Notamacropus eugenii: one gene and its partner. The protein of the gene in region 1 interacts with the protein of each later gene in a pairwise test. Links are inferred from orthologs where the notes say so. Each region holds a gene or a part of one and is shown in the gene's direction. Other genes may lie near its edges. The genes, in order: JUNB and BATF3.

Region 1 (7,360 bases):
TATTGCCTACCTCTCTCTACCTCTGTTTCTATCCCCAAGACAAGAATCTTAGTTGTAAGGGACCTTGGAGGTGAAGTAGGCACTCTCTATCTCTGTCTTTCTGTCTCTGTCTCCTCCTCCGGCCTTCTTTCCCTCTCTTTCCCCTCTCCCTCCCTTTCTCTGTCTAAGTCTGTTTCTCTCTCCCTCTTTCTCTTCCTATCTTTATATCTGTGTCTACTTCTGTCTGTAGATCTCAGTCTTTCAGTCCTTTTTCCCTGTTTCCCATCCCTTCAACCTGATATCTATCTCTTTAGCTGACCAAGGCTTGCTGTGGGAGCTGAGTCACCAAAGCCTCTGGGTCCCTGCCCACTCCTGGCCCTGGCTTGGGGGGGTGGGGTTGAACTTCTGGGAGCAGTGGGTGGATGTTGTATGAAGAAGGGGGGCTGGGATAGCCAGTGAATGAGAGTCTGTACCCCTCCCCCAGCAGTTATCTTACCCATTCTCTGTTGTTTCCCTCTACCCCCCCTCCCCTCCCTTATGGGAAAGCCCCTGTAGAGGCCCTGGCCTCCCCCAGCCCAATGGTCTTGCCAGGTGTCAGTCAGGGAGTCATTAGCATGGGCGGGAGACAGGGAGATTGGCATAGTGCCGGCCAGACAGAGCCCAGTTCCCTCCCCACACACATACACATACTATTCTCATACTTACTCCATCCCTCTTGACTGGTCAGTTACAGCCTGGAATATATCTCAGAAGATAGAGACCAGGATGATGGAGGGAACAGAGAAAGGGACCAAGTTGGGGAGAGCAGGGGACGGGGAAAGTGGTGAAGGAGGGACGAACATGAGGCATTGGGCAGGGGTTCAGGTTAAGGAAAAAGAAGAAACATGGTGGTAACCCTGGGGATAAGCAGATACCTAGACCAGACAGAGAGGTTGGGGGTTCAAAGTTGAGGATAGTGTCCTTGTCATGTTTCCTAATCTTCCTCATTGGGGCAGCTAGGTGGTGCAGTAGATAGAGCACCAGTGCAGGAGTCAGGAGGACCTGAGTTCAAATCTCACTTCAGACACTTGACACTCACTAGCTGTGTGACCTTGGGCAAGTCACTTAACCCCAATTGCCTTGTCGTGGGTCATCTCCAGTCATCTTGATGAATATCTGGTCACTGGATTCAGATGGCTCTGGAGGAGAAGTAAGGCACAGCTCTCCCTCACTCAAAACAAAGTCAAGTGCAAGTCATGTCATTATTTCTCTGATGGCATGGTCTTCTTCAGCAACCAAGGATGAACACAGCCTTCCTCATTATATCCCCCTGTCTCCCTCTCCCACCATCTCCACTCGCTCCTCTATTCATCTGTAATTTTTTTATCCTCTCTTCAACTCTATCTGTCTGTATAGCTATCTGGCTCACTTAGTCTCAGTTTCTCTTTCCCTTCTTTCATTTTCTTACTCCACACACAAGCAACCTTCTGCCTTTGGTTCCTCTGTCTGCCTGCATCTCTACCTCTCACTGTTTCTCTTTCCATCTGTCTTTCTCTTTCTGTGTACTCCATCCCTCCCTCCCCCCTCTCCCTTTCTCTCTGTCCCTCTGTTTCTGTCTCTCTTACTTTCTATGTCTCTCTCTATTCCTCACTTTTCTGTTTTTGTATATAATCAGAAATAGATTATCTAACCCAACTCTTTACAAATGAGGAAATTGAGGTCCACAGAAGGAGTCATTTGACCGATGCAGAAGCCGCATCTTTGTCTCTGTTTAGTGTCAGGATTGTAAAGAGATCACGTTGTGCAGACCCTTATAAAGTAATTATAGATGGGTTAATCAGGACCCTGAGAGTGTCTTATACTAGTAAGTGGCAGAAATGGGACTAAAACGCAAATGTCCTGAATGTGATTCAAGTTCCTCACCTTGTAGAAGTACTCCCTGTGTAAAAGTGGGGGCTGGACAGCTCCCTCCAAAGTTACCTTAGCCATCCCCTGGCTGCAGCTCTGGGCCTCTCTGGAAGGGAAGTGAGACTTCCTTTTTGTTCCAGACACACACCCTGGCAGCTGGGAAGTCCCACCTCTGGTCTGACACGAAGCCTCACCATCCTATTTCTACCCAATAATCTCAGCTGTCCTGTGAAATGGGAACTGTCACTCAGTCCCTCTTTCCCACCTTGGGCCCTAGGCTCCTCCGCCACGCCAGCGCCCCGGACCTTGTCCTCCTGGCTGCTTTGCTCCCTTCCCACTCACTCCAACCTCCGCCCCAGGATGGGGTGAAGTCTGGCCCAAGTCTTCCTGGGCTCCCCTGGGATCCTGCCTCAGGGCAGGGGGACAGGACTTGGGTGGGGTGAGGCAGGACAAAGCTGGAGGCCCAGGGGCGGGTGAGATGGGGGGGTGCTGTACGGAGGCGGTGGCCGGGGCTGGTTGGAACTAGCCAGAGAGGGGCCCGGCTTGGCCCCTCCTTAGGACCTGGCAGGAACCGGGTCTCTGGGCTCGGGGCCCCGCCCCTTCCTGTGACCTTATTTGGACTTAGGGCTGAAACTGGGAAGGCGGGACCAGAGTCTGAATCGGGGGAGGGGGACAGGATCCTGGAGGACCGGAGGGGCAGAGATCCAGAGTTTGAGAGCCGGAGCTTGAAGTACAGGGGACTGGAGTTTGAATCTGGCAGGGAAAGGACTTAGGATGCTGGGGGAAAAGGGGTAGGGGATGAATCTGACCCGGAGAGGACCAGAGGAGGCCGAAGAGAGTTCTATGGGGCACCATGGGGTAGAGATTCCAAGGCAGGAGTCCTGGGGGCGGGTGCTCAGGATGCTGCAGAGTGGGATTTGGGGGACAAAGGTTCAGAGGCTGAAGAGTTCTGAAATGGAAGAGTCTCGGGGAACTGGAGAGGAGATCTGGATGAGCAGGAAGAATAACAGAGGTTTAACCAAGAAGGTCAGGAATCTGGAGGGGCAGGAGTATCTCAGGCCTCATTCAACTCTCAGACTGGGAGCCAGGGGCAGGCAATATCCTAGAGCCCCCTTCGGTTACTATGGAGACAATGACAAGAGCTCCACCACCCTGCCCCCATCTCCTTTTCTACGGTATTGTATCACTCCAATTAGGGCTGTATTGGGAACCCCCTTAAAGGGATTCTCTGACTATAGAGGACATTTAGGGTTCCTCTTCCCATTCTCTGGCCCTATTTCCACCCGTGACTTCAGAGACTTGCTGAGGCTTAGGGGAGGGGAGCATTCTCACAGGTAAATTAAACTCAGCAATCCATTCTGGCCTTCCCCTCCTCCCTCAAACCAGCCAATGGTGCAGGAAACCAGGGATGAAGACAAAAAACCGTTAGGTAGCACCCCCTCTTCCCCAAAGTCCAGACCTCCTGCATGTCTCCATCCCCACCAGACTCCTGGACATCTTAGAAATACCCAGAGGAGTCCAACTTTTGGGAATGCTTAAGAGAAAGGTCTCACTGACTTCCAGAGGCAGGCCTGGATCTGTTCCTGTTGGGGAAGAAAGGTGGTTCTATACCTGTCCCTGCTTTGGGGGAACAGTTCCAGAGGCCAGGCACATACCTGCTCCCCTAGGTCCTGTCGAGTCCCAGTTCCTCATACCCATTGCCACATTTCCGTCAGATCTTTCTTAAGCAGGTTTCTAGGGAAGTCAGGGATTGGAGGCACCCAGGGGAGTTCTCCCGGATACCAACCCAGATCCCAAGGGGGAGGGAAAAGGGCCCTAGGCTTGAAGTCAGGAAACCTGCTCTAGATTGGTCTCTGCTTCTTACTACCTTTGGGCCTTCCTCCTTGTAGAATAAGGGAGCTGCCCCATCATATTTCTAAGATACCTTCTAACTGCTAATCTGTGATTCCATGGGTGTGCCAGCTCCCCATAGACTGGGAGAGGAACCTAGGCGTTCTGCCCTTCCCTCTCAGACCGCCTTTTAGGGGAGCAAGAGAGACTGGGATTGGGGGCTAAGAGGAGTAAAGAGGCACTGGAGCTCCTGGTTCATCGATAACCTATGCCACACCCTCCCATCCGCCGGCTTCCCAGTTCTAGGTACTCGGTACCCTTCTAATAGACAGCGAGTAGGGAGGGGTCTTTAGTCTCTGAGAGTGGGGTATGTGAGGGTCAGACAGGGTCCGAGTAGGTTGCAGACACTGCGTGTATAGGTCGGAGGTGTAGTAGGGAGTGGGGAGTTTCGAGGTGTCCGAGTCTTCGTAAAAGGGTCGGTGGATTCCCGTGGGGATTTGTCACAGCAGCTTCTGGGGCTCAATCGCCCCCATCCCCGGGTTGGTCTTAGGATCCCCTGTCTCTTATCTCAGGTCCCCCTCTTCCCTGATCTGTCTTCCAGGCCCAGTCTCTCGGCCTCTCGCGAGCCAGCCCCCTACTCCGGCCCCCAGTTTCCCTGTCTCCCTTGCCCATCCCAGTACCATCCCAGCCCAGCCCTGTCCTTGCCCGGCCCTGTCCCGCCGCCGCTGCTGTTTACAAGGACACGCGCTTCCTGGCAGTGACGCCAGTCTCCTCCTCCCCTTCCCCACGCCGAGCCCGGGCATACTGGGCGGGGAGGGGAAGAGTGGGGTGCGGGAGGAGGCGGGGGCCTGGTTCCCCTGCACAACCAATCAGGGATCGCTTACGCAGCCACCGCCGTATAAAGGCTCTGGGGTACGCAGCGAGGCCGGCAAAGAAGCGGGGAGTCCGAAGGCTGTGGGCTGGGAATGCGAGCTTGAGAACAGCAGGCAGCCATAGAGCCTTGATCGCCCGAGCCAGCTAACAGGGCGCGGCGCAAAGAAGACCAACTGAACCAGGCCAGGACTTGGACTCCTGCTGTCAGATCTGCCTCGCTAACACAAGATCCTTGCCACTGTTTTCTGGAGACTTGAAGGGGTGGGGACGGTCACAGAAGACTGAGTCCGGGAAGAGTGGGGCACAGCAGGGGAACTCAGGTTTAGCATCGAGGTGCGTTCCGGAAGCCAGAAGCGGCTGGTCTGACCCGAGCCTCCCAAAGCGTGCCCCGAGGGCATTCAGGCATTGGAGCTCGAGTGCCTCAGGGGTCTCCTCCTCTCGGCAGAGGGGAGCGCCGGGAGCTACGAGCTGGGCGCGCGGGCGCCTGGATGTGCACTAAGATGGAGCAACCTTTCTACCACGATGATTCGTACCCGGCGGCAGCTTATGGCCGGGGAGGTGCCGCTGCACTGGGACTGCATGATTACAAGCTGCTGAAACAGAATCTGGCACTCAATCTTGCCGCTGCCGCTGACCCTTACCGCGGCCTCAAGGCGCCAGGGCATGGTCGGGGACCGGGACCAGAGGACGCGAGTGGTGCCTACTTTTCAGGACCGCCACCTCCCCCTCAGAACGAGGCCTCTGCTGGGCCGGCGGGCTCGTTAAAGCTCGCGTCTCCCGAGCTGGAGCGCCTCATAGCGCAGAACAGCAATGGGCTCATCACCACAACGCCCACGCCGCCGGGCCAGTACTTCTACTCGCGCAGTGTGACGGAGGAGCAGGAGGGTTTCGCAGATGGCTTCGTCAAAGCGCTTGACGACCTGCACAAGATGAACCACGTGACGCCCCCCAACGTGTCACTGAGCAGCAGCAGTGGCAGCTCCGGAACCGCAGGGCCCCCAGCTCCCCCTAGTAGCGTTTATGGTCCCTCAGCCCTGGGCCCCGAACCACCTCCTGTCTACACCAACCTCACTAGTTACAGCTCCAGTGGTGGTAGTGGGGGCGCGGGCGCAGGGGCCGCGGGCGGCTACCCTACTGCCACAATCAGCTACCTCCCCCACGGACCGCCCTTCCCCGGGGGCCACCCGGCAGCAGTGGGGTTGAGCGCCCGGGCTGCGGGAGGCGCAGGGCCGCTGGCGGCCTTTAAGGAGGAACCACAGACAGTGCCCGAGGCGCGCAGCAGGGACGGGACACCACCCGTGTCGCCCATCAATATGGAGGACCAGGAGCGCATCAAAGTGGAGAGGAAACGACTGCGGAACCGGCTGGCGGCCACCAAGTGCCGCAAACGGAAGCTGGAGCGCATCGCGCGACTCGAGGACAAGGTGAAGACCCTCAAGTCCGAAAACGCTGGGCTGTCGAACACGGCTAGTGTGCTCCGTGAACAGGTGGCGCAGCTCAAGCAGAAGGTGCTGAGCCACGTCAACAGCGGCTGCCAGCTGCTGCTGGCCGTCAAGATGCAGAACTTCTGAGCCCACGCGCGGCCCGCCCACGGACCCGGCTGCGTGACTGACTCTCCCCCTCACGCCCCCGCCGCGCGTGATTCTGCCCGGGTATGGGCGGGCCGCAGACTCTGAGACGCGGGAGGAGGGCAGGGCCACCTGGAGGGCACTGGACTAGACGGAGGGGCCCCGCCCAGCGCGCCTGTCGGCTCGCTCTCTTTCTTCCCCACTCACCCACTAGTTCCAATCTCGAAGTTTACAAGCCTCACCTTGACCTGGGCCCCCACGCCTCTGGGCGACCCTCTGTACTCCCTGTTTTGTACGGTTTTTTTTTTCTGCAGGAAACAGACACGATTCATATTGAATATAATATATTTGTGTATTTAAGAAAGAAGTTCTATCCCCGCGGCGGAGCTGGCCCCGCTGCCTACACACGGCCCGCGCGGTGGCGGGTAGGAGCCCCTAGGAAGGGGTGCTCTCAGCCTGCCACCTTGCCTGCCCTGAGGGTTCCATCGGGTTGTGTCTCCCGGAGCACTTGAGTTTTAAAGTTTATTTTATCATTTTTGTGTGTGTTTTTGTTGTTCTGACTTTTTATTGAATTTATTTAAGTAAAAAAAAAAAGACTGTTTATTATTTATTACTCCTTGGCGTCTTAATGGAAAGATGGGGGAGGGAATGCGGCTGGGGAGGGAAGGCTAATTTGAACCTTAAACCTGGTTCAGCACCTAATTTTTTGCTGGCTGCCTTCTGAGCCTGCCTATAATGGTTGTTTCTGTCCCTATCCCTGTTTATCATCTATCCTATCTATCTATCTCTCCATCTGTCTATCCATCTATCCATCTATGTTCTAGGAGTCTGGCTCTTTCCTATCACTGTCCCTTATATATCTAGTTCCCTTTTCTTTATGTCCCTGTTTCTCAGTCTCTAGCGTCTTAGTGTGTCTCTCCAGTCAGTTTCTGTTTCTAGACTCTTATATTAACAATCTCTTCGTGATTCGGTTCCTGCCGTCTGTGGCCCCGGGCGTCTTAGCCTGGAGGGACAAGCTGTGACGTCGCTGGGGCTTTTTCTCGCTTTGAGGCTGGACCCAAACCTTTCTTTGGCGGAGAAAAAGACCCTAGAGGAGTGTTAGAGTCGGCCTTTGGCTGCGCAAGCGCGGTTCCTCGCGCTAGGGGGCTTTTCCCGGTGACGCACAGGAAGCCATGCCCATATACGGACCGTTTCTGCCCAGTGACGCGCCGGCGGTCAGGCCT
Region 2 (7,279 bases), on another chromosome or scaffold:
CAAGGAACTCACAATCTAAGGGAGAGACAAGCAAACATACACAAAAGAAACAATTACGTAACTCATAATTACAAAGCAGGAAGAAGGGGACCATGAATGAGGGTCAGGAGAAGGGAAGTAGGGGAAGAAGAGTTACAAAAGAATTGGGACCATATGTGACAAAGTAACTCAATATAACTCAATCTGCTCAGGGCAAGAAAAGTTCTGAACTGAGGAGTCAGATAAGACCTGATTTTTCTCATTGTTCATCCTCTTCACAATATTTGGATCTCTTGGTTACCTCTTCCTGGATACTCTCTCCTCTGTGGGTTTTGGGTCATTATTGTCTCTTGGTTTTCCTCCTATATGTGTCTCCAAGGCTCTGTCCTGGGCCCTCTTTTCTTCTTCCTTTCTCCTGTTTCACTTAGTGATCTCATCAGCTCCCATGGATTCAGTTACCATCTCTATGCTTATGGCTGCCAACTCTATATATTCAGGCCTATCTTCTGAGCTCCCATCCTATATTTCCAATAACCTACCAACATGTTGAGCTGAATATCTAGTACATCTTTCAAACTCAAACATGTCCATAGCAAAATTCACAATCTTCCCTCCAAGCCCTCCTCTTGTCCATATTTTCCTGTTAAGGGCACCCCTATCATCATAGTTCTCAACTCCGGTTCTCAACCTAAGGTGCCGAATCATGTCCCTTCTGCCTTCTCAACATCTCTGATGTTCCCTTCTGGTCATTTATACACCACCACCCTAATTTAGGCACTCATTACTTCTTTTGTAGGCTATTACAATGGCCTTCTAATCATTTTCCCTTCTTCAGTTCTCTCCTCTCTCCAATCCATCATACATACAGCTGCCAAAGTGATTTTCCTAAATCACTGCTCATGTCGCTTTGGGGATAGCTAGGTAGCACAGTAGATAGAATGCCAAGCTTGGAGTCAAGAAGACTCATCTCCCTGAGTGCAAATCTGGCCTCAGACATTTACTAGCTGTGTGACCCTAGGCAAGACTTTTAAACCCCATTTGCCTAAGTTTCCTTATCTGTAAAATGAGAAGGAAAAGGCAAAGAACTCCAGTATCTTTGCCAAGAAAACCCCAAATAGGGCCACAAAGAGTCGGACAGGACTGAAATGACTAAACAACAGGTCCCTTCTTCACCCCACCTCTTTCCAACAATAAACTCCAATTGTACCTTATTACTTCTAGGATTCAGTAGAAAACCTTCTAGTATTTAAGGCACTTTGCAACCTGATGCCTTGCTACCTTTTCAGTCTTCTAACTTTAATCCTTTCCATGAACACTAAGTTTAAACAATACCAGCCTACTTAACTGTTCCTTGAACATGACACTGGATCTCCAGTCTCCTTGTCCCTGTCTGTCGCCTGGGCCTGGAATGATTTCTCTCTTCAGGTCTGTGTCTCAGCATCCTTAGTTCTTCTCAAGACTCAGACAACCTTTTGTAATAGGGTCTTTCTCCATCTGCTTGAGCTTTCCCTTCCTAGGTTCCCTTCCTTTGGCTCTGTATGGATCTTGTATTGCTCATTCATTTCCTTGTTGTCTCCTTTCTTGCAATGTGAGCTTTGTAAGGGTAGGGACTCTTTTTGTATTTTTTACTTTCTTAGTATTCCCGTAGTACTAATCTCACAGGATTGTCATGAGGCTTAAACATAGTGTCGGTAAAGTGTTATTATTATTATTATTAAAAGCAAATATCACTTCATTTTTGAAAAAGACACATGGAGATAATAGAGCTGTGGAAGAAAACACTAACAGTTCTAGAATCTTTTCCACAGTCAGTTTTTAGTTCTGCCCATGTTCTTTCAGTTGAGACAATGCCTTATAAAAACTAAACTTTCTCATCCCTATTTCTGATCTGTCTTAGTTAGACAAGTCTATATACTAGCCAAAAAAGCCTATTGAATACTCATTCTGTGGTTTATTTATTTGAATCTGTATTTTAGAAACTAATCAGAGAATTTTGTTGTACGGAGGAAAACACTGACCAGGAAATCAGGAGGCCAAATTCTAGTTCGGATTCTGATACTAATTATGTGATGGTAAACGATTCGCTTAAATTCTCATGCCTCAGTTTCCTCATCTGTAAAATTAGAGTTGCATTAGCTTTAGGGCTCAAAGGGTCCTTAAAATTCCCAGTCCAACCACCTCATTTTCAGACCAAAGATCACACAGGTACTAAGTGGAAAAAGCCAGAATTTCAACCCAGATCCTCTGATTCTAAATTCAGTATTCTTTCCATTATACCAAGATGATCCAACTCTAAAAATCTCCTGTCTTCTCCACTTCTCTTGGCCTCTTTCCTTCTGTTCATCATATGCTTAAAGGTATATGTATATATATACACTGACATGCCTACATATCTTTATATAATACACCTATACATACCTGTAAATGTGATATACACATATGTAAATATTGTAGATATAATGTGTTCGTGTATATGTATGGATGTATATGTATGTGTACATATAGGTGTGTATGTATGTCTGTGTATAGATATATACACATTCATTTATGTGCATATAAATATCTAAACATTTATAAATATACATACACATCATACATACACACATATGACAAACCCCAAACACTGCACGTATTGCCAGTTTTCTGACCTCATTTGGTAACTTAGTGGACCTGCAGAGTCACATTCAGTTTTACAGGCATACTTCGCAGCTCTTTGGACATTTTCAAACATTCCTTCCTTATACTCAAGTGGGCATAGATAGGCCACAGGACACAGACCGGCTGTGTAACCAGTTGAACATTTCTCCTTTGCTGGGATAAATTTCTTGGCCTTCTTGAAGCTAAAGATGTGAGTTGTAGGGTAGGGGAAGAGACCAAGGAGAAAACGGTCAGAGAGAAGCCTGTAAAACTATTTCTTCCTCTTCTGGTTTAAAATGAACCGAAATCCCGTTACTAAGAGATCCAGTCAATGAAAGCCTGAGGAAAAAGAATTCTAGCCTGTTGAATGTGTGGAGTTCCTTTAACCTGTTAGTGGATACACTGAGCCGGTTACATCTCCGCAAATCAGCCACCCCTCCTTCTCCTCCAGCCTTGATACAGAGCAAGCGCTAAGGTGAGGAAAAAGAAAGGATGGACAGACTCTTCTGGTAGCGTTAGAAGCCCAAAATGGACTGTGATGCGATCTGGGAGAGAAAGCACGAAGGAGAATGGGGATGGCATCGAAAGTCTGGGAATAGAGGGCAGCATCCCCGCCTCCATCCCCCTTGCTTTCCATCCTTTACTTAAAAACGTAATTCTCTTTTTGCAGATTTTCAAGGGGACCCAGGCTAGACTGAAAGAAGGTGTCTTGCAAAGCTGTGGCTTGGTCCAAGCTCAGAGAGATTGGCAAAAAGGGGAAAAGGAAGAGGAAGAATGGAGAGCTGGGTCACTGGGATCCTTAAATTAGGGAGGAGCAAATACACCCCGAGGGCAGAGATGACTGTCAGTTCCCTCTGAAGTCCCCAGTCTCTTCAAAACTGGCAAAGGGTGAAGGGGTGAAACTGATGTGAAATTTTTGTGATGATACTTGGGGGAAAAAAACCAACAAAAAAACCCTCCAACTCCAAACCACCCACTTGTTTTTATCTACGTCTGAGAGCTGAGGGTCTCTAAAAGTCCTATGCTCTAGTTTCCTTACTCCTACCCCCTTCTCAAATAACCCCACCTTGTGGTCTCGAGTTCCCTCCCAAGTTTCGAAGACCAACACGTGATTTCCATTAAGCCGGGGGCCCCCCCAGACGAAATGCCTGCGAGGCGGAGAGGGGGGTTGGGGCGGGACTCTGCCAATGGGACCTCGGGATGGGGAATCTTCGTGGAGTTGGGGACTAAGTCAGGGAGGGTAAGGAAGTAAATCAGCACTTGGACAGGGCGGAGAGGGGCGGGATCCCAAGGGATCAGAATTTGGGGAAGGGGTTGTGATCGGGAGCTGGGCAGGGGGGTGGGGAAGAGAGAAAGACCTGCAGCGGAAGGAAGAGGGAGAGTAGAGTGAGAGTGAGATCTGGCAGCCCGAGGGGGAGGAGGAGGTGTGCCTCCAGTCTGGCCCGGGAAGAGAAGGGAGGAGGGAAAAGTCGGCTTGCTCCAGAGCAGGGCCAGGTGCGCTGGCGCGAAGGATGCCCGCGGCCGGAGAATCTCCGTAGGCTGGGAAGGGGCGCGGCGGGCCGGGCTGGCTGCTCCTCCCCCGGAGGCTGCGCCGCGCTGCCCTGCCGGGGGCGGGTCGGGAGCAGCGGAGCTCCCGGCATGTCGCAAGGGCTCCCGGACACTGGCAGCGTCCTGCAGAGGAGCGTCTCTGCCCGCGGGAACCAGCCACAGCCGCAGGTAGCCAGGGGAGGTGGGCAGGCGGGAGGGAGAGGGAAGAGGCTCGGAGAGCCAAAGTAAGTGCCTGCGGCCGCGGCAGCTCTCCAGGCTGCGGTGCTGGGGAGGGACTGGGCGGAGAGGGCCGGGGACAGGGCAGGAGGCACTGGCTTGGGGCAGCAAGCGTGGGGTTGGCGGCGATGACCAGGCTGGAGCCCGGCGGCCGAGGAGTGCTCGCGGCTGCCACCTGAGCTGTCACTTTACCCCCGGGGCTCGGGCACCGGAGCCCGGCGGTCTGGCTGGGGAGAGTCCTGCCTTCGCACGTGGGAACTCAACTCCGGGAGCTGCTCTGTGGCCAGTCGCCAAGGCCTTCCCTTTGCCAGGGCTCAGTCGGGGTCCCTGCTTTCCCATCTCCCAGCCGTAGGGGCAAGGGGACTTTCAGGACCAGTAGTGGAGGAATGGAGGGCTGGGGAGAGGGGTTCCACCCTTGCCCATCCTTCTTCCTCTCCTGCTCTAGCTTCAGAGAATACTGCTCTTAGGGAATGGAGGCTTAGTCCTAATGCCGGGGGAAAGTGGAAGCACTCCGCAGACTGGAGAAAGTCGCCTTAGAAGTCCTTTAGTCAACACCACTCAGTACCAGTAAGGATAAGTGATATGCCTTGCCGATAAAATTCCTGGAAGGATCTCACCTGGAACCTAGGTGCCTTGTTGCTGGACCCAGTACCTCTTCATATCCACTATGCTAACCCCAGCAGCAGGCTTCACGTGAAATACCAACCAACTAGGTCAGCTAACTAGTTTTGTGACGCTGGGCAAGTCGCTTAATCTCTGCCTGCCTCAGTTTCCTCCTCTGCAAAATAAGGATAATTAATAGTAATAGCACCTACCTCCCAGGGTTGTTGTAAAGAACCAATGGAGATAATATTTGTAAAATATTTTGCAAACCTTAAATTGCTTTAAATGATAGCTATTATTGTGATTATTATTAGCTAACTCTCAAGCTTTTTTCCCCTGTGGTCCAGGTCCTCATCCCCTTCAACACACACACGCACCCACGCACACACACAGACACACAGACACAGACACAGACACAGACACACACACACACAGATACACGCACACACCCTGTTTATCTGGCCACCTTCATGGGAAGTAAGTGAAAAGACCACTAGAAATCAGAGCTCAAATTCAGCCTCTAACGGAAGTTAGCGAGAGGACACTTAAGTAGCAGGCATATCTTGAATCCAAGTTCCCAAATATCACAGTAGCCCAGTCAGAATGTGGAATACCCTCAGCTCTGAATAAGGGAGCTAGAGCTCATTTTACAGATAAGAAAGTCCAAGCTCATTAAGTAACTTAATTTATATTAACTCCCTACCAACACAAGTAGTAGGCATAGAGGGTTTGGGGGTAAGATTCAAACCCAGGCCCCCTGATTCCCAAGCCAGTGCTATTTTCATGTATCATGCTGGTCAATATAATTCAGGGGACATTTATTAACCCTTCAAATCAGCACTTATTTGCTTTAATAAATGAGTTTATTTTATTTTTGGAGGCAATCTGGGGTTAAGTGACTTGCCCAGGATCACACAACTAATAAGTATCTGAGGACAGATTTGAACTCAGGTTCTTCTGACTCCAGAACCAGCACTCTATCCACTGCACCAGCTAGCTGCCTCTTAATAAGTTATTTAGAGTGATGGTGATGACAGTGAATAAGCTGGTATGATTGTGTGCGCAGCATAGTATAGACTTTTTTGTTGTTCATACCATTGATTTCATTGGTTTAGAAAACTCCAGGCGAGGAATTTCCTTTTACCAGTGCAGATGTGGGACTTTTGTAGTCTTGGAGAGGGGTCTGAAGGGACCGAAAGGTTGTCCATAGCTGAATAGTCAGAGATAAGACTTGAACCCTGACTCAAGAAATCTGGAGTCAATACTAGCTTGTCTGCAGCAATGTGGGGAGAACATCTCAGACTTGCTTCAGATCTTTTTAGCACAGAGTCATTTTCTTCTGGACGTATGTGCATGTGTTGGAGTGGATTGAGTACTAAGCAATGAGTCAAGAAATTCTGGGTTTAAATCCCTCTTAGCATCTGTGAGACCCCAAGCAAGACATTTAAGCTCTATGCCCTAGAGAACTCCCACTAATTACCTACTGACATGTAGATCTTTGTTATAGGTAGTGTAAGTTCCAATGCTCGGAACCCAGAAGGCTGACAAAATCACTGAGTCTTCTGGTCTTATTCTTTTGGGTGAATGTGTGTGTGTCCAATTCCTTGTCCTTTTTTCCTTGTTAGATGGTAACTTCTTCAGGGAAGACCATAACTTCTCTTTCTTAAGTATCTTCCCATGAACCCCAGCATAGCAAATGCCCAGTCATTATTTTACTAGGTTGTGTTTTTGACCCAAGGTCGTGAAATCTCTGTTTCAACTTGACTATTCAGCATTTCACATTAATTGGCTTTAAGTGTTTGTTCTGTGATAAGCTTTGAGGGATTTGACTGACGTACTATTGTGTACCACCAGAGAGTTTCAAGATGTATTGGTTTAGTCAGTCATCTTCTAAGAAAAGGACTGATTATTAAAGTTTCAAATAGCCATATCTTAGTTTATAAAATTGAGGATTTTTAATGGAATTTGACATGTCAATGTAAGTTACAGGGAAGTATGAGGCATACAGAATGACTAATAAAACCTGCATTTGTGCATTTCATTATTATCAAAAGTTTTTGGGTATCTTTTTGTGTGACACTATGTTGGAGTCTATCCAAAAATAAGTTATACAAAGTCCTTAGCTTTCTGTGAGTTTAAAATCTAAGTCAAGCACCACCACCACCACTGGGTGTTCTATGCACATATCAATTCGATAGAATTTAATTTATCACCATAGTATATAAAAGGTCCTGTCTACATGCTGGAAATATAGAAGCAAAATTAAAAATATTATCTGCCCTCAAGGAGCTTCTAC

What was found.
Region 2: the proteins of JUNB (region 1) and BATF3 interact in binary tests that used the Homo sapiens proteins (3 or more experiments, as listed by UniProt). The link is inferred for Notamacropus eugenii from reciprocal best matches to the Homo sapiens genes JUNB and BATF3.

Annotation. Positions count from the first base shown.
Region 1 is NC_092875.1:78,133,816-78,141,175, reverse strand, and holds JUNB (transcription factor JunB), read left to right. Parts: upstream 1-4,629; 5' UTR 4,630-5,057; coding exon 5,058-6,140; 3' UTR 6,141-6,743; downstream 6,744-7,360. UniProt on the Homo sapiens protein: Transcription factor involved in regulating gene activity following the primary growth factor response. Binds to the DNA sequence 5'-TGA[GC]TCA-3'.
Region 2 is NC_092873.1:425,465,301-425,472,579, forward strand, and holds the start of BATF3 (basic leucine zipper transcriptional factor ATF-like 3), read left to right. Parts: upstream 1-4,033; 5' UTR 4,034-4,254; coding exon 4,255-4,332; intron 4,333-7,279. UniProt on the Homo sapiens protein: AP-1 family transcription factor that controls the differentiation of CD8(+) thymic conventional dendritic cells in the immune system.